Macaca mulatta: one gene and its partners. The protein of the gene in region 1 interacts with the protein of each later gene in a pairwise test. Links are inferred from orthologs where the notes say so. Each region holds a gene or a part of one and is shown in the gene's direction. Other genes may lie near its edges. The genes, in order: ATOSB, KIF20A, FHL5 and DNAJA3.

Evidence for each region.
Region 2: the proteins of ATOSB (region 1) and KIF20A interact in binary tests that used the Homo sapiens proteins (3 or more experiments, as listed by UniProt). The two-hybrid records come from large-scale screens. The link is inferred for Macaca mulatta from reciprocal best matches to the Homo sapiens genes ATOSB and KIF20A.
Region 3: the proteins of ATOSB (region 1) and FHL5 interact in binary tests that used the Homo sapiens proteins (3 or more experiments, as listed by UniProt). The two-hybrid records come from large-scale screens. The link is inferred for Macaca mulatta from reciprocal best matches to the Homo sapiens genes ATOSB and FHL5.
Region 4: the proteins of ATOSB (region 1) and DNAJA3 interact in binary tests that used the Homo sapiens proteins (3 or more experiments, as listed by UniProt). The link is inferred for Macaca mulatta from reciprocal best matches to the Homo sapiens genes ATOSB and DNAJA3.

What each region holds. Positions count from the first base shown.
Region 1 is NC_133420.1:64,608,696-64,613,534, forward strand, and holds the start of ATOSB (atos homolog protein B), read left to right. Parts: upstream 1-1,571; 5' UTR 1,572-1,673; exon of another isoform or gene 1,674-2,265; intron 2,266-4,839. UniProt on the Homo sapiens protein: Transcription regulator that may syncronize transcriptional and translational programs.
Region 2 is NC_133411.1:147,034,626-147,039,487, forward strand, and holds the start of KIF20A (kinesin-like protein KIF20A), read left to right. Parts: upstream 1-1,551; 5' UTR 1,552-1,723; intron 1,724-2,175; 5' UTR 2,176-2,196; coding exon 2,197-2,361; intron 2,362-3,943; coding exon 3,944-4,033; intron 4,034-4,130; coding exon 4,131-4,250; intron 4,251-4,836; coding exon 4,837-4,862. Other genes in the region: BRD8 (bromodomain-containing protein 8), read right to left, coding at 95-191, 1,116-1,134. UniProt on the Homo sapiens protein: Mitotic kinesin required for chromosome passenger complex (CPC)-mediated cytokinesis. Following phosphorylation by PLK1, involved in recruitment of PLK1 to the central spindle. Interacts with guanosine triphosphate (GTP)-bound forms of RAB6A and RAB6B.
Region 3 is NC_133409.1:89,326,986-89,331,910, reverse strand, and holds the start of FHL5 (four and a half LIM domains protein 5), read left to right. Parts: upstream 1-1,908; 5' UTR 1,909-2,136; intron 2,137-4,925. UniProt on the Homo sapiens protein: May be involved in the regulation of spermatogenesis. Stimulates CREM transcriptional activity in a phosphorylation-independent manner.
Region 4 is NC_133425.1:5,706,125-5,709,870, forward strand, and holds the end of DNAJA3 (dnaJ homolog subfamily A member 3, mitochondrial), read left to right. Parts: exon of another isoform or gene 1-1,086; coding exon 1,087-1,190; 3' UTR 1,191-1,203; exon of another isoform or gene 1,204-1,204; intron 1,205-1,817; coding exon of another isoform or gene 1,818-1,840; 3' UTR 1,841-3,052; downstream 3,053-3,746. UniProt on the Homo sapiens protein: Modulates apoptotic signal transduction or effector structures within the mitochondrial matrix. Affect cytochrome C release from the mitochondria and caspase 3 activation, but not caspase 8 activation.

The sequences.
Region 1 (4,839 bases):
GTTGAACCCATAAGTTGAAGTTTGAAGTTTAAGTTGAAGAAGTTTAGATGACTTCAAACTCTGTGCTTTTCCCACTACACAAAACCTTTCTTAGTTTGCCCTTCTGGGATTATGTAGGCATTTGTATCACTGTCTAAACAATACGTTCCTTATGGGCAGAGAAAATACTTTGTTCTTTCTTTTTTTTGCGCCTTCCACACCATTGACGTTGAGTAAACCAGTTTAAGTTAACTACTGGCATAAAGTCACAGAGCCTTGAGAATCTTTGTCCACCAGGCTGGAGTGCGATGGTGCGATCTCAGCTCACTGCAGCCTCTGCCTCCTGGATTCAAGCGATTCTCCTGCCTTGGCCCCCCCCCCGCCCCCGCCCCCGCCCCCGCCCCCGCCCCCGCCCCCGCCCCCGCCAGAGTAGCTGGGATTACAGGCGCCTGTAATTTGGCGGGTGCTGTGGCTCACGCCAGTAATCCCAGCACTTTGGGCACCGAGGAGGGTGGATCGCTTGAGATCAGGAGTTTGAGACCAGCCTGGCCAACATGGTGAAACCTGTCTCTACCAAAAATACGAAAATTATTCCAGCCTAGTGGCGCACGACTGTAATCCCAGCTACTCCGAAGGCTGAGGCAGGAAAATTGCTTGAACCCAGTAGGCGGAGGCTGCAGTGACCGAGATCGCACCACTGCACTCCAGTTTGGGCGAAAGAGCGAGACGCGGTCTCAAAACAAATAAAAAAGAATGTGACTTTTGGAGAACTTGATCAAATCAGACCCAAACGGTCTGCTCCTCAGAGAGGCCACAGATTGGCGCTGAGCTGGGCTCTCTCAGTTCTGCAAGTGTCCTGTACTGCCATCTACCGGTGTCTGGAAAGCGTCGCCCTCCCTTATTGTATCTCATGGGGAGAGGCTGGAGAGAAGAGACTCAAGCGCCACTTAAATTGCAGAACATATGTAACTGTACTGCAGTTCATTCGACACCTGTACAAGGGAAAGGCCTCACTTTTCTCCAGCAATTGCAGGCCATCCTAACTCCATATTAACACTCATCTCGTAAAATTCACAGATCTCCTCGCTGACCTGCCTCAATAGGTACAGATCTGACTCCATACCAACACTCATCTCGTAAAATTCACAGATCTCCTCGCTGACGTGCCTCAATAGGTACAGATCTGACTCCTACTGTCCATCCCAGAACCCACACCCGCCTGCACAGCGTAGGCTTCAGAAACTGCTCAACCTCGCAAACCTGAACCCCATCGCCCAGATTCCCTTATTTTCACAGACCCCTGAGATTCCTTGCACTACCTTGCAAACCCTACGGACCTCCCCTATTAGTGCAAATGCACGCGCCAACCCAGACATCCCTACAAAGAGGCTCGAGTTTCGCAGGCAGCTCACACCGGCGCGAAAGCAGCGAGAGAGCCCCAACCCGGCTCAGAGCCCTCAGGCTTGTGGCTTTGGCCCTGGCTCCGGGTTCCCACCCTTCCCTGATCCGCTCCGCTCAGGCTAGCAGCCTGTCGACCGAAGCCCCGCCCCTCTAGACCTGTCATCACAGAAGCCGCACGTGGCCGGGTGGGACCTCAGGCGACCTGCGGCCATCACTTTGTCTCCTCCGTCATCCATTGGGGCTGCCACCGCCAATCAGAGCCAGCGGATCCTGGTTGGATCGCGACCGCCCGGGTGAGGCGTGAGGGAGAAGGGGCGGAAGGAGGAGAGGCTCTGAGATGGGAGGGGGATCGTGGTGGAAGGGGGCCTGGCGCGACTTCTGCCAGGCTGGAATCCGAGGGGGCGGGTCCCGGTGAAAGGCGGAGAGACCAAGAGAAGGCGGGGATCGCGGGTGGGGCCTGGGAAAAGCTGAGGATCCTGGGGAAATGCAAAGAAAACGCGAAAGAGGAGCGGGGACAGAAGGGGGCGGGGCCCGGGCTACAGGGGAGGAGCTCGAGAAATTAAACGAGGAAAGGGACAAGTCCGGAGAAGGTGGAAGGTGGGACAAGGGAGACGGTGGGCCTGGGCGTTGCGGGGGCGGGGCTCGAACCGAAGGGGCGAGGTTTGCAGGCCGAGACTACAGATAGGACTGCTCAGTAACTGCCCCAACCACTACCACCTACCCGAGTGCAACGGGATCCACGGAACTACAGGTGTGGGGCGGGGTGAGCGTGGAAGAAGGGACGCGGATGGGGGTGCGCTTTGCAGACAATCTGGAGACTGCTGTATGTTGAGGGAAGACACGGAGTCGGGGGAGCAGTTGGGGACTCAATGTGTGGGCAACAAGGTGCATTCTCTAGGGGCCTCTATGGAGGAAGGGCAGGAGCGCTTTGTTGTGGGTGGGGGGGTGTTGCGAGGTACACCGTGAGGGGACTGTGTCGCTGTCTGATGTGGGGGGTTGGAGGAGGTACATGAGGGGGAGGGGACTTGGAGGCGCTTTGACGGAAGGGGGACTGTTTAATGGAGAAGGGCTGGTGGTCCAGAGTGTAGCGGTGTCGGAGGGTCTGTGGGCACTATCTAGGGGAAGGGGTTGTAGGCCCCAGTTGAGGCGGGAGAACAGAACCCCCAGTACTTTGAGAAAGTAACAGTTTAGGGCATTGTAGTAACTCCAGGAAGATATTGTGTTCTGGGTTCTAGGAGCAAGGGTGATGGAGTTAGTTGGGTGAAGAGGCCAATCTGTTGCACTCCTGTCTGCTCAGCTTTTAACTTCACCTCCTGGCCTGAGCACTCAGAGAGGAGTCGGACCCTGCTTGTCACCAGGGCTTGTGTGACTGTCTCCTCAGTCTCTTTTGGATCTGTCCAGCTGAGACTGGGGTTTCTTCCCCTAGCTGATGTCCTGGGGGACCCTTCCCCCACTGGGTTCCTGTCAACCCCCCATCCTAGTTCCTGTTCCTCCCAGAGCCAGCCTTGTCTCTGTCTCCCCCTCCCCCTCCCTGCCCTGCCCTTACGCTCTGGGTGTGCTCATTTCCCACTTCCTTCCTTGCCCCAGGGCCTGGCCTGGCCCTTGCCCATCTAGGAGCCATGCCCTGCCTGGGACTTTGTGCTCAATGACCAGAGACCATGGTAACCAGCAGCAGGGCTCAGACCCCACCCCCACCACTACCACCCAGGTCTCTCACATAGACCCCCAAGTGACTGGTAGCCACATTTAACCACTTGACACAAACTGATTTTCCCCACCCTTGTCCTTCCCCTGGGTGGGGAACACTAGGGCTTCTGTGGGAGGGGGGAAGTGGTGAGGAGTATTGAGGATCTTCCATCTGTTTTGAGAGGTGGGCTATGACTGTAAGCTGAACCCAGTAAGGGTTGTGAGGTTCCAGCCTCAGGGAAGGAAAAGGGAGTAGCTCCCCACACTCCAGGCTTGGAAGCACTATCAGAACCGAGACTAGGACCTAGTTCTCTTGAGGGCTCCTCTGCTTCCCTGAGGGGATTTGATGGAGTGCTAGAGTTCCTTTTGCCCCTAGGCTGGCTGGGAGAGGGTGGGAAAGGCTTGAGTTCCACACAGTGGCTGAATGAGTGTGACAGTGTTGCTAAAAGGGGCCCCAAGCCAGCCTCCTCACACAACCACCCAGGAGCTGAGAGACTGGCTGGGGAGGGGGGGATTGTGCTGAGGACAGACAAAGCCCTGGGGTAGGGTGGGGTAAAAAAGGGCAGGCTGAAGCCTTTTGAGGAGGAGCTGATTGCTATGGCAACACTGCTTCCCAGACAGTCTCTCAGAGAGGGCGGGCCTAGGGCAGACTCTCTCTAGCTTCCTCAGGACTGGGGAGGTTTGTGTGAGTGGGTGGGGCATGAAGAGAAAGGGCATCAGTTTGCTGTGCTGAGACTGGAGGATATAGCCTTTCTGCTTTGGTACAAGGCAGCAGGGCGTTCGAATGCCTGGAGCTATCCTCTGATATGGATATGAGTGAACAACAGTCATTAGAATTATAGAGCTGCAGAGGCCCTCAGCAGTCATTGTTTATACAAACCCCTTATTTTACAGTTTTGGAAATTTATGGCTAAAGAGACTGTGATTCCCCAGATGTCACAGTGAAAGGGCTAGATAGGATCCAGATCGCCTGATTGCTGTTCACTCAGCCCAGGGCCTGTTGTTTTCTTCAGTCAATGTTTATTGAACATTGCCAGGGACTCATGTTGGCTCTGTGAATATGAGCACAAATGAAACAAAGTTGCTGCTCTCATGGAGCTTCCATTCTAATAAGGGGAGAAAGAAATTATATAGGGGGAGGGAGAAGTCAGGTAGTGATAACTGCTATTAAAAAAAAAAAAAAAGCATGGTAAATTTAGGGCAGGAAGGTAAGGCCTCTTTTTTTTTTTTTTTTTTTGAGAGACAGTCTCAGTCTGTCGCCCAGGCTGGAGTACAGTGGCATGATCTCAGCTCACTGCAACCTCCGCCTCCTGGGTTCAAGCGATTCTCCTGCCTCAGCCTCCTGAGTAGCTGGGATTACAGTTGCGCGCCACCACACCCAGCTAATTTTTGTATTTTTAGTAGACATGGGGTTTCACCATGTTAGTCAGGCTGGTCTCGAACTCCTGACTTTGTGATCTACCCACCTTGGCCTCCCAAAGTGCTGGGATTACAGGCATGAGCCACCGTGTCCAGTAGTAAGGCCTCTTGGTTGTACCCTGCTGCTTTCCCAGGGTATATTGAGGCCTGGAACATCTTTGATCCTTCACCCTGAACTATTGTCCTCTGACCTTTGTAGGTAACTAAGGCCTGGCCTATGGTAGTGGCAGAAAGATAGGATAAGGTGGGGTTGCTAAGGGATATTTTTTTTCCTACAGTGTTCTATGTCTCTGTTTTCCTAGTAAGCTTTTATTAAGGCAAGTAGGCTCTTACATTGATACACTGTAATTTTGA
Region 2 (4,862 bases), on another chromosome or scaffold:
CAGCTTAATATGATTAACTACAGAAATCTATCAATGTGAAAGAGTATCTAACAATTTCTAAGACCCAGAAAAGCTGACATCCTAGATAGCTTACCAATTTTGATCTCCACTTCTCATGACAGAAGATGCTAAACACAGCTTCTCTCGGATGGACCATGGCTCTGTGGGGCCAGTACTCAGCAGCTTGTGTTCTGGGAAACGAAAAAAAAAAAAGCCTTGGAAGCAACCACTGAGACTGTAGTGCTAAGCTCCAAAATCCCCAAAAAGGGGACTAAAAGCCTAATACAAAATATTCCAACTTGTTAGGACAAAGTGAGCTACTATCACCAAATCTTGATTTTCACCTCTCCAAGTGAAGTATCACCAGTGACCGTGGTACCAATTTGTTGCATGTGAATTATTAACATTTTATTTCTTAAAACGCCACGGCTTGAAGCTCCGCTTTATTAAAAAATTGGGAATGTCAGATTAGGCAGTTCTCCCTAAAAGCCCAGTTTTAAGAACACTGGACTTTATTCCAGTTTGAACTCATTCAGGGCTTATTTCCCAGGAACCCGAGCGGCCAGCCCCTCCTACAACCCCGCCTCCCTCTTAGCATAAACTTGTTTACTTCTCTCAGATCCTCTACTCCAAATGTCGGGCCTAAAAGACCTTTTCAGTCCACTAAAAGAAAAATGGCTGAAATCCCCGAGATGCAATTTCCTGAGTGGCAAGAAAAGCTCATGGTTAAAAGGCCCCACTTCCACTGCCTCACAAACGTCGAACAAAAAATGAATGGCTCTTTGAGGTGCCGGTTACTCCGTCTGGCTCATAACATCTTTTCGTCTGCACGCCCAAGTTTCTAGAGTGCTTTTACGGTTACCCCGAAGGGCTCCTAACACACTAGGATTCACTAAGCTCCTTCTCTCACACCTCCGCTCCCTCCCTGAGAAACAAGACCCCAGATTTCTGGGCCCCCAAACGTTGGTCTTCACGATGCTGTGGAGCGCAGGTCTCTGAAAACCCTGAGCTCTCAAGCAAACCACTTCTCCCACTCCCTAAGCGTGTAACAAAAATATGGTGCCTAGCCTCGGATCTACAAACGCCTTTCACGCAAAACCTGCTCAGATACTCACTGCCCGTTCCCGTCGCCATCTTGGCCCCGAAGTCTCCAACCCTGAGGAGAGACGGTCTGGTAGGGCCGAAACCCTGGAATTCTGGGAAGTAGAGTACCGGCGTTGGTTCGCGGTGCCTCCTGGGAAATGTCGTTTTTTCCCCTAAGACAAAGCAAGCACCCTAAACCAGTTATCTTGTGCAATCCTTTTAAGATTTTTGCTAAGGAAGGACAGGGGTTGGCGGCTGAAGCCTCAAGATTTCCTTTAGGGTTCTTAGGTAAGAAATGTCTAAGGTTCAAGAAAAAGGGTTAAGCTGGAAGAATCCCAAGCGAAATAACTCCTAACCCGCGACAGTTGGTAACCCGGACCCACATTAGATCTGAGAGGTCAAGCGGATGCAAACTACTGGAATTCCAGTCGGACCCGCCCCTTTTCCTTACGCGGATTGGTAGCTGCAGACTTCCCTATCTCATTGGCCGAACGAACGCAGCGCGTAATTTAAAATATTGTATCGGTAACAAAGCTGCACCTCGTGGGCGGAGTTGTGCTCTCCGGCTGCGAAAGTCCAGGTTCGGCGACTAGGTGTGAGTGAGCCGGTACCCGAGGAGGAGCAAGTGGCACGTCTTCGGGTGAGTGTGCGGCTGTGCTGGAGCCCGGGTTACCAGCTCTTGCCCACGCGGAATAGGCTTTAAGAAATCGGAACTGCAGCCATCTGTTTTTCTCTTAATGCTGCATCTCTGTTCTCACGGTGGTCCTTGAGGTTAGAAAAGGAGCCGAGGGATCCTGACACCACCTCCACAGCACCGGCGGGCGAGGTGCCCTACTTTAGGCCTGGCCTTTTGCTTTTGGAGCCAGATTTCTGTGGACTTCTGTTCGCTTTCAGAAATGCAACCTCAAACTTCTCTCGATTGTTCATTAAGTGAACTTCTCTCATTCCCTTCCCCTTTGCCGATAATTAGAGGGGAAAGGAAGTAGGGAGCGGGACCCGGTGTCCTGGGGCAAGGGACTTATTACCTAAAATTCGCGGCCCCTTCTGTCCCTAAAGGTTCTTCTCCCTGCCCACTTTTTGGTCTCTTTTTAGACCTAGGCTGCCCCTGCCGTCATGTCGCAAGGGATCCTTTCTCCGCCAGCGGGCTTGCTGTCCGATGACGATGTCGTAGTCTCTCCCATGTTTGAGTCCACAGCTGCAGATTTGGGGTCTGTGGTACGCAAGAACCTGCTGTCAGACTGCTCTGTCATCTCTACCTCCCTAGAGGACAAGCAGCAGGTAAAGGAACTGGGGAGTGGCTGGGGCAGAAAGTGACATCCTCAGGTCAATAGTTGTCCATACACGGTAGTATGAGGTCAAAGACTAGCAATCCTGAAGGTTTGAGAGATCAATTCAAAATTAGGGGCATGTAGGACAAAATGGCTACGAAAAGAAAAAAAAATTAAGGGCATGACAAGTAAAAAAAAAATTAAGAGTTGTGTGTCCAGAAGAACTATTATTTGCATTGCATTAATGAAATACCCTCAAGTGCATGCTCTCAGTTAATCAGGAAATAATAGTTATCTCTCTTTGCCTTGAGGCCCAGTTGTGCTAAATAATTTGCACAAGGTCATATAGGCATTATGTAAGTGGAATGTATGTTCAGGTTTTGATAGTATCACCATAGCTTCAATTTGTTGTAGCTTTCCTGCTAGGCCAGGGTTTCTCCATCACAGCATTGTTGACATTTGGGGCTAGACAGTTCTTGTAGGGATCTGTCCTGTATATTGTAAGATGTTTAACAGCATTCCTGACATCTACCCACTAGATGTCAGTAGTGCCTTCCCATTTGTGACAATCAAAAAATGTCTTCAGGCACTTCAGGCATTGCTTAAATGGCCTTTGGAGTGGAAATGACCCTGGTTGAGAAACACTGTACTAGGTCCTATGCTAAACATTAACATACATTGTCACATTTTGTGCTTTTATAGAGTTTCTCTTAGAGACTTAAAAAGTTCCATGACAGCATGGTCCTTGATAATGTCTCTCACTATGGACTATCAGAGCTTCTCAGTTCCTAGGGCATAGTAGGCACTCTAAATATCTGCGGGTTTTTTTGTTTTTTTGGGGTTTTTTGTTTGTTTGCTTGTTTGTTTGTTTTTGAGATGGAGTGTCGCTCTGTCGCCCAGGCTGGAGTGCAGTGGCACAATCTCTGCTCACTGCAACCTCCGCCTCCCCGGTTCAAGTAGTTCTCCCTCCCTCAGCCTCCTCAGTAGCTGGGATTACAGGCACCCCCCACCAAGCCCAGCTAATTTTTGTATTTTTAGTAGAGACGGGATTTTGCTGTGTTGGCCAGGCTGGTCTGGAATGCCTGACCTCAGGTGATCTCCCCCCCTCAGCCTCCCAAAGTGCTGGGATTACAGGCGTGAGCCACTGCGCCCGGCCTCTAAGTATCTGCTGAATTAATGACATGGGTGCTATTATTAACTCCATTCTACAGATGAGGAAATTGAGGCAAAGACTTTTAAGAACTCATAGTTCAAGGTCTCATAGTTACTAAGTGATGGAATTGGGACTCAAATTCAAGTGTGTTTGCCTCTGCTTTGCTTTAATATCACATACAAATTTTCATACCAGTCAATAAATTCTAACTCAGATCATTGGTGTGGCAAGCCAGGTTTGCAGGATAATGATGAGACAGGGAAGGGTGACAAAGTAGTAAAAATGTCCATGTGGGTTGGAATGATTGTGGAACCAAAGAGTAGCTGCACAGAGACATTTGAGGTGAAATGGGGTACTGTTATCATGGTTCCTAGAAACTACTGTTTGCCCATTTGCTGCTGAAATTAATCTGTGGTTCTGGGCTGGAATTCTGCCACAGGTTCCATCTGAGGACGGTACGGAGAAGGTGAAAGTATACTTGAGGGTTAGGCCCTTGTTACCTTCAGAGTTGGAGCGACAGGAAGATCAGGTAAGTGTCTGAGAAGGGAGGATTTAAGGTGAAATGATGCAGTACAAAAGATTCCCAGGAATGCCTTTTGTGACAACTGTATTTTCTCCCTTCTCAGGGTTGTGTCCATATTGACAATGTGGAGACCCTTGTTCTACAAGCACCCAAGGACTCTTTTGCCCTGAAGAGCAATGAGCGGGGAATTGGCCAAGCCACCCACAGGTTCACCTTTTCCCAGGTATGAAGGGTACTGGTTTGTGAACAAAGGACCAACATGTAAGGGCAACTTTATTCCCTCTTTAGAGGGAAAGCTTCTCTACCTGACTGTGAGTTCCTTGTATACGCACACCTACAATTTTGAGGGCCCTAGTTATGTGTTAGTCAATGTGTCAAGCAACATATGTATATCAATTCTGAAAAATTCTATTGCTATTATCATTATTTCCTTATTTTCCTCACAAGGATAGTGTGGCTCAATGAAAGTAATATTGCTGAAGCCATGTAGCTAGTCACTGGTAGAGTTAGGACCTGAGTCTAGATCCATGTATCTCCAAAGCCCACGCTTGTGGGCCATTATATTACCCCATTGTGTGTGCAGCATCAGGCCTAGGGCATAGCATTCCTTAAGTGTTTGTTGATTTGGTTGAAAGATGGACTAGCAGAGAGTGCTTGAGTCCTCAGTGTTTAGGGAACAGCTGGCAGGAAGAAGCTGCTTGAGTGGTCTCCAGAGCCAACCACTCAAGAAGGAATATATCTGCTGGCTCTGCACAGGAGGCAAGTGGGAGATGAAGGATAGGCCTCTAAAAAACTGGGTCTCTCTCTAGATCTTTGGGCCAGAAGTGGGACAAGC
Region 3 (4,925 bases), on another chromosome or scaffold:
TGAGGATAAATTTGAGAAAGATCATTTAACAAACTAGAACCTACAGAAGGTGGACAATGATGGGGATGGTGGAGAATAGATGAGGAAAGGGAATACTCTAACATAAGGAGTGGATGATTGTGCCATTCCCTGAAGTAGGATATACAGCAAACTAACAAGTTTGGAATGGGGAGAAGACAAAGAGGATTATTCGGGACTGTTGAGTTTGAGATGTCTGGGGACTTCTAGACACGGTTGTCTAATAGATAGTGGGATACAGGTCTGGAACCTTGAAGAGTGATATCAGATGAAAGTACACATTTGGGAATCATGTTGTATAATTGTTCACTGTTTCGATGAAGAACATGATGGAGAACCTTCAGAGAAGCATAATGAACAGAGGATAAAGCTCTAGGGAAGACTGAGGTGAATAGAGAGAAGGCTAAAGATGCTAAGAGCAAACAGAAAATCAGAAGAGTGTAACATAGCAAAACCAAGGAAAGATAATTTCAAAAAGAAATAGACATGGCCAGAGATGAGAATTTTTCGGTAAGACTAAAGACCATGCTCTTTGGGTTGCTAATCAAGGTTGTATATGATCTTAATGAAGCTTTTTTGGAGTGGTTCAAGTGAAAGACAGATTGTAATAAGTTGGGAGGGAGAAGGAAACTCAGAATGTTGTAGATTTGGAATGACTTGGTGAATGTAGATTACCCTCTCAGGAAGCAGGGGAACAAATGAAGAGGGTGATGGTCCCAGGCACGTTTACATCTCAAAGACTGCTTTCCTTGCCCATAAAACAAGGAAAATACAGCTAGTACCTGCTTAGCAATGGTGTCCTAAGGATTAAAATCTATTACTAATGAAATATACTTATATCCTTTTGCTGAATCCAAATTTATTGTTGTTAATCACCATATGTTCATTTTCATAATGTCTTAATCAGTAAAGTCAAGTGAATAACAAAACACACAGTTAACTGGCTCTGCGTTTCCCTAGCTCAAGTTCTTTGACTGTATATACCCGAGTTTGACCTTAGAAGATATTAACATTTCACTCCTTTAGCACTTAGAACAAGGACAGTTTAAGTTTGGTCTGGAATTAAGGCAGAATTTCTTCTCTCATCCTGCCTTCCAAACTGAAGAAATGGCCTCAAATGGAGATTCTAAGAGAAAATGTCACTTGCTTTATGAATCAGTGTGCCCCTCTGAGAATACTTATTGTGGATTGGTTTAATATCCAAAACTTTCTTCAGATCCAACTCTTGACATCGCTGTCTACTTTTTGTGTTTCGAAGATTTCAAAAAACCCAATGAGTTTATGCTTTATGAAGTCATACAGCCATGGATGTGATGTCACAATTGTGGCCAGCTCACCAGGAAGCAGGCAGAGCAGGAAAGGCTGGGCCTACACTGCAAGTCCAGAGAGCAGGGAACTACCTTGAGTACTCTACTCAAACTTATGTCTCAGATTTCCCCAATTTCCCAAGAAGGCAGTGATAGAGGCCACAACCCAGGGGGTCATCTCTCAAGGTACCAATAGCTTTGCAGGTAAGAGCATGGGGCCTCATCTCTTTCCAGACAGTCCAAAAGAAAAGCTCAGCAGTTCAGACATTTCCAACCTAAAAGAAAGGTTCTGATCACCACCAGAAAACAAAGAAAACAAAGCCAAAAACAGATTGAGGAAACAGAAAATACATCATGCTTTTAGAGCATTATTTTTATAAATATGCCCTTAATTTAGCCTAGTTAGTGGAAATTTCTCAAGTGTGTATGTGTCTGTGTGAACGTTGTGTATTTTAAACTTTTTGGAGCTTAGCCAGATACTTCGAATGCTAATCCTGGCAGAATTTCCCTTTAAGGATGTCCTGCAGAGAATTTGTTACTCATAGTTTCAAGTAAAAATTGACAAGTAGTGCTTTTTCAGCCCAGTAGGAGTAATGCACATGGTGTAAGACTTGGAGGAAATGCAGGGACCCTTCTGTTTTCTCCCGCAAAGTTGAAAAAGCTACATGCAGTTGGAAAGGATCTTCAGATGGTGCTGGTGACTTTCTGTTCCTTTGGGAGTTAACACGCATATGGATTGGAGGAAAAATAATCAACATATATTCTCCTTTTGTATTGTTTAAATTACAGGAAGAAGCGGCTTTAAGACAAAGTGAGTTCTTTCCCCCAAATGTTTCCTTTGTTTTGTTTTGTGGTATTTCGACTTCTCTAATTTTTTTTTTTAAGGATGAGAAATTTTTATAAACTTTCCAGTAACTCCTTAAGAGAAAAATTTTGCTTGGCAAAAGTGTATGCCTTTTGAAGTTTCTTGGCCATTTTAGCTAAAGATTATCAAATTTTATATGCTGAGCTTTTCAGATTTATCATTCTCATAACTTGCGTGTGGAGGTTACATAGTGCCAGATAACTCCTTGGAATTGTCTCTTGAGTTTCTCTAATGGTTTTAATGCAGGGTACAGCTTTATTGTTGTAAAAAGAGGAAGAAGAGGAGGGCTCTTGAGATTTTATTTGCCTTCGTTTATTTGAATGAATAATATTATCACTTAGCATATTTTATGACTAGATTTATATTTCAAGAGCACATTTTGAAGTCACTTACAGGTTTTAAGTAAAAGGAGTTAATGAGATTCCTGCTATTTTCAAGAAAAATCTGCCTACTTTCCAGAAGTGGGCATACAAAAATTCATAATCTTAGGTTTCCTAAGGTTAAATTAAAATATCTGTGTTTCCAGCCCACAGAAATATATAATAGACTCTATCAATTTAAAGTGCTACTTCTTGAAACAGAGGTAGTGTTATTCAGGCAAAAAGCATACACGCCATATGTGTTAATGCTTTCTCTCTCACTATTTTAGTCCTATCCTCTTTGGTACCTATCATTCATTTGAAAACCAAATGTAGCTCCTCGGCTGTCATTTCAGACTTCAGAAAATTGGAAATTAAAAAGAATTATTAACAAAATGCATAGCTCTTATACATAAAATGTAAGGAAATCCTTGAGCTCTTTTAGCCCTCATTTCGTATCCACAATACCATCATGTGTAAATACTAGCATTTTTATTAGCAAAGCATATGGATTAAAATTTAACATAAGTATTGCAAACATATGTATCATACAAGATATTTCTTAACATATGTGTTATGATATATGCTTAAAGCCATAATCCAAATTGCTTTAAGGGGAAGGTAAACTGTGGTGTCTGTTTTCTACACTTGTTCTATTTATTCTCACATTATCATTAGTTGCCAAATCTGGGACTGTTCTACCTAAGCAAGAGTAGCAGATTTGTGTTTTAATATAACACCACCTCACTGACAAATTTACCTCTTATTTTCATTACACTTGCCAACATTTTGAGTAAAGCTGAATTAATTTGTATTTATTACACAAGACTGGGTACTTTTCTACTAAAATATTACAAATAAGAGTTTAGAATATTTAGAGACGCTTTAATTTGTTTTTATTTTTATGTTTTCAATTGAGGGGATATGATCTCTTTAGAAATGAAAGCTGAATACTTGGGTCCGCATGGGAAGCTCTGAATCAGATATTAGTTAAACCAGCTTGCATTTCCCTGTTCTCGTAATTATCTTTTTCCTCTCCAATTACCATCATTTTTCTTGGTTGCTTTTTGGTACCCTTGAAAGCTCACTGAAGAAGAGGAAGAGAAGAAAGAGGTAGAGGAAGAGGAGGAGAAGGAGGACTCCTTTTTGCCCAACATGCCTCAAATCCCTGCAAAATAATCAGCTTGAGGCCAGGCATGGTGGCTCACTTCTGTAATCCTAGCTTTGGGAGGCCAAAGTCGTGGGGATCACTAGAGCCCAGGGGTTCAAGACCAGTTGGGGCAACATAGGGAGACTCTATTTAAAATAAAAATAAATAATAAGCTTATTGATGATATACCCTAGTATTTTATATGAACTAGTAAAGCATTCTTATGGGTTTGGATTTACCTTATCTTTACTATATGTCTAAACTTTCACACGGGCTAATTACCCTGATTAGAACATACTAGGGTATGTCAACAGCAAGGTTTACATTCATTAAATAAATAAAGATAGAGAGTCTGTTTGAAAGCAATAGTGTGATGTGGAGAAGACAGTCAAGGTTTTGAAGTGTCATTCATACTGAGTTTTCTATGAATGAGAGCAGGTGAGTTTGCCTCCCTACCTTAAAGATATAATTAAAACAGCTGTATTACAGAATTTTATATTAGAATAATAATAACAGTAGTCATTTTTATTTTTTTTCTTCTCAAATTCTTCGGTTGCATTTCCAGCACCAATGGACCTTAAATTTATCTCACTTGATTTTTAGCAAAGCTTTGAGCTATTCCTTTGCATATTCATTTTGTCAAAGGAGTATTTACCAAATGGATCCTGAGTAGATTATTTTGATAAATTCAGGTTGTCTCCTCACATTTAAAAATATACCTTTTTGTATTTTTACAATTTCATTGCAATTGTAATCCTCTAAAGATGGTGGTGTGGAAGTGGAGTGGAGAAATATGCTTCTGGGGCTTGTTTTCCAGTTTGATTCTGTTTAATTATTTCTTACAATTGTTCATAAAACAATTTAAGTAACATGTCATAAGTCACATGACTTCTAAGAATTTTCTTCTTTTTTCTTTTTTGCTTTTATTATTACTATAGACATATAACTGTACATATCTATGGGGTACAATGTGATGTTTGTATACATGTATACAACAAATTATCGCATCAGGGTAATTAGCAAATTTATAACTTTATTTTTCATTTCTTTGAGTTGGAAATATTTAAAATCTACTCTTATAGCTATTTGAAAATATACAATAAATTGCTAATTATAGTTACCCTATAGTGCTATAGAACACTCGAACTTATTCCTCCTATCTAGCTGTATTTTGTATTTCTTAGCCTACCTTTGGCTATCTCTTTCTTCCCCCTACCCTTTTTTGC
Region 4 (3,746 bases), on another chromosome or scaffold:
GGGTCTCACTCTGTTTTATGTAGCCTGCCTCACCCCTTCCCGGGGACCTGTGGAACCAAGCTTTGGACCTTCCACTAGCGAAGGCACTGTCTTACTTAGACTGAGGTCTTTACTCCGTTATGCACTGTGCATGGCCTAGGTCTCTGGGCACATTAAAAATGCGATTGACAATTAATATGCCAAGTTCAGGTTTATATTCTCACTCATAACAAAAGTGTACACTCCTTGTCTTATGGTTGGCAAATCTGTAACACGTTTGTGCGAGAAAGTACCTCTAGGTGGTGTCAGCCTGGGCCCTAAAGAAATAGCAGCACACCTCCCCCAGGTTGAGAGCACTTAGGTTAGGTGCCCCAAATGGGGGACAACTTGCTCAACTTGTTGCACCCCAAATGGGGACAACATAGACTGCTGATGTGAGGGATGAGATGAAGTGCCTATGACAGAGGATTGTGTGTGGCCGTGACTCCGACATGGGCTGTTCTGCAGGGTCTTTGTACACAGCAGCAGCATGGAATCTGGTCATTTGGTCTAGAAGTAGGGTTTTTCTTGGTGTCATTATTCACCTTCTTATAGCCAACAGCGTGGTGGTTGAGAGTCTCGGCTTTGGAGTCAGACTGCGTGGGCTCGCACTCAGTCCTCCCTCTCGCTTGTTGGCTCTGTGGGCCTTGGGTAAACCCTGCAACCTCTCTGTGCCTCCCTTTTTTGTTTTTTTCATTTGCCTGTAAGGAAGTGTGTGGCCTGGCCTGGGAGGTGCCTGGCACTTGACTGTGTTTTTGTCACTGTTGCTCAGATAGAGACAGCTGTCATGGTCCGTCTCCGTCTCTATTTCTTGTTTCCCTGCTGTGGGTCCATGATTGAAAGAGCAGTTGGGAGACCTTCAGGCTCTGAGTGCTCTGTTACCTCAGTCATTTGCCAGGTGAGGCATCCTGTGCCATCTTAGGAGTGGCCCCCACTCTTCTTGAGGTGGCGCTTGGCCGCTCCTTGAATGTGGGCCCCTGGGTGGCCAGGCGGGGGTAGGTGGGGCCGAGGATATGACCTTGGAGGTGCGGGCCCCTGACGCCAGTTCTTTCTGCTGTTTGTGCCCAGGTGGCAGCTCCATGGATAGCTCCGCAGGAAGCAAGGCTAGGCGTGAGGCTGGGGAGGACGAGGAGGGATTCCTTTCCAAACTTAAGAAAATGTTTACCTCCTGATATCCCAGCTGAGGTAGGAAAACCCTGGAGGTTTCTTTCCCTTTGTTTTCCTCTGTGAACTAATCCTGGTTTTCTCCCACTTTAACTAATATTGTGCCCCCACCCCCAGGAGTGGGAACAGGTGCCAGTCCAAGGTGTGGTAAACCTCGCTCCACTAGGAGCCGGCCTCTCAGCCTAGGGAAGAGATGACGTGGCAGTCAACCTGTAGTGTAGGACTGGCTGGGCTGCCGCGGCCAGCCTCTGGCTGTGTCCTCTTCCTGGGGAGGTGGCAATGGGGGGGCTGTTGTACAGCCCCCTACAGTGGTGGTTCAGCTTGCCCATGGTCACAAAGGGCGAGTCAGGCAGAGCCAGGCCTAGAACTCAGATCTCCTCACGTCCTGCCTGCTTGGAAGCTGCCCGCCTGCATAGACAGTGCAGGGCTGTGCAAGCCTGGGGGCTGCTCCAGGATGGCGCTTGCTCGCCGTGTCATCTTGGGACTCACTTTTGTTGACTACGCTCATCTCAGCGGCTGGGGTTCTCGCCCCTCTCTTCGCACAGCTGCTTTCCAGGGATTAACAGATGCTCCCCAGCGGGGTGTGTTCCCTTGAGATGTTGAGTATAAGGTAACTGCCTGTCTCTTTGGCTCAGGAAAAAGATCCACTGGAAACTAGGCCAGGAAGCAGCAGCCCCTCCCAGGGCCAGGGCACCTGGGAGACGGGAGGATTCCAGAACAGCAGCACTGAGCTCCCCCCCGCAGAGCCTCTGGACGGCCCTGACAACAGCAAAATCACGGGACAACACCTCTCTCCACAGAAAGGTCACAGTGGACAGCCTGGACAGTAGGATGCAGCCCCGAAGGCTGGTGGCAGTTTCCTGTCCATGGGTAGGTGACGGCCCCTGGCTCAGGCAGAGGGAGATGGTTAGACTCTTGTAGGGCTAAAACTCTAATTTGGAATTGAATGTTGTGGAGATCTTAATTAAAGGCCACGCTTACAGCTTAGAAATGAAGGCTTAAGTGGCACCAAGTTACAAAGTGATTTATTTCCTTCTCAGCAAACCTCCGGGAGGTTCCAGAATGAGTTCTTTCTCACAGGTTGTCTTCATGGGAGCCTGGGGCCCCCCAGGCCCCACCAGCTCCGTCCTCCCCTGATGAGGGGCCCTGCTGAGGTGTCAGCTGCTCTGCTCAGTTAGTCTTTATTCCCGGGGTACCAAGCAGCTGCACACTCAGGGCCTGGGAGGCACATAGAGGCCCAGAGAGTCCATGGGGGTTCTGCTCCTGACCGTGTGGGTGGTGGTGATCCCTGTCAGGATAGACAGTCCTTGCTCCCACCCCATCCAGGATGGCCGCCTGTCGCTGACCATTGAGTCCTGTTGTTGTAAGCCAGGCATGGAGGGCTCCGGCCCGTCTGTTGAGCCACAGCCCTCTGCAGCACTGTGCTGGCCAGATTTCAGCTGCCTTGGGAACTGAAGCCCTGCCACTGTTGCTAGCCAGGGGCTTGGTTCTCCCACTTACACTGTTGACATCTATTTTCTGAAGTGTATTTAAATTATTCAGTGCTAATCATTGTTTTTTCCTGTGTAAATGTTGATTCAGAAAAGGAAAGCACAGGCTAAGCAGTTAAAGGCTCCCCACTATTCAGCCAGAGCAGAACCCCCGTTCCCCAGCCTCTGCTGGTAGCATGTCGCAGTTTCCATGTGTTTCAGGATCCTTGGGCTGTTGTCAGACAGGTTAATGAAGAAACATTTCTCAATAGTTTCCTTTTTGTTTTCCTTTATAATTCACTAAAATAAAGCATCTATTAGTGTCTGATTTAGGAATGTAAAATGATTCTGTATTAATGTAAATAAGATTATCTATTGCAAAAAGATATTTAAAACCTAAATTGTGGTCATTTCTTCTTTGAAAGAATTCAGACAGCCTCTGCAGGTAGCTTATGGGAGTTACTGGAGACTTGGCTGGCCTCATCCTGTGCTCATGCCCACCCAGAGTACATAGAGGCAGACAGGTCTGGGGTGCCGACAGTGCTGACCCTCAGTCAGATTCCAGAGCAGGGTGCTGGCCATGACACAACAGTCCCATGTGAGTGAATGTTCTAGAATCTGGATGTGACTTTTTCCTTGGGAGCCCATGCTGTGAGAGCTGGGCAGTGTCCCTGGGTCCCTGCATTTCAGTCACCCTCACTGGATTGTTTCTCTACATTCTTTTCAGAGTCTTTGCATCTTTTACCTTCAATTTTATTTTATTTTTTTGACATAAGAGTCTCACTCTGTCGCCCATACCGGAGTGAAGTGGTATCATCTCTGCTCGGTGCAACCTCTGCTTCCTGGGTTCAAGTGACTCTCCTGTCTCAGTCTTCTGAGTAGCTGGGACTACAGGTGCACGCCACCACGCCTGGCTAATTTTTGTATTTTTAGTACAGATGGGGATTTCACAGTGTTGGCCAGGCTGGTCTTGAACTCCTGACCTCAGGTGATCCACCTGCCTTGGCCTCCCAAAGTGCTGAGATTACAGCTGTGAGCCACCATGCCTGGCCAAAATTTTTATATATTATAGTTTGGCTACTCTGGGTTCCCAGC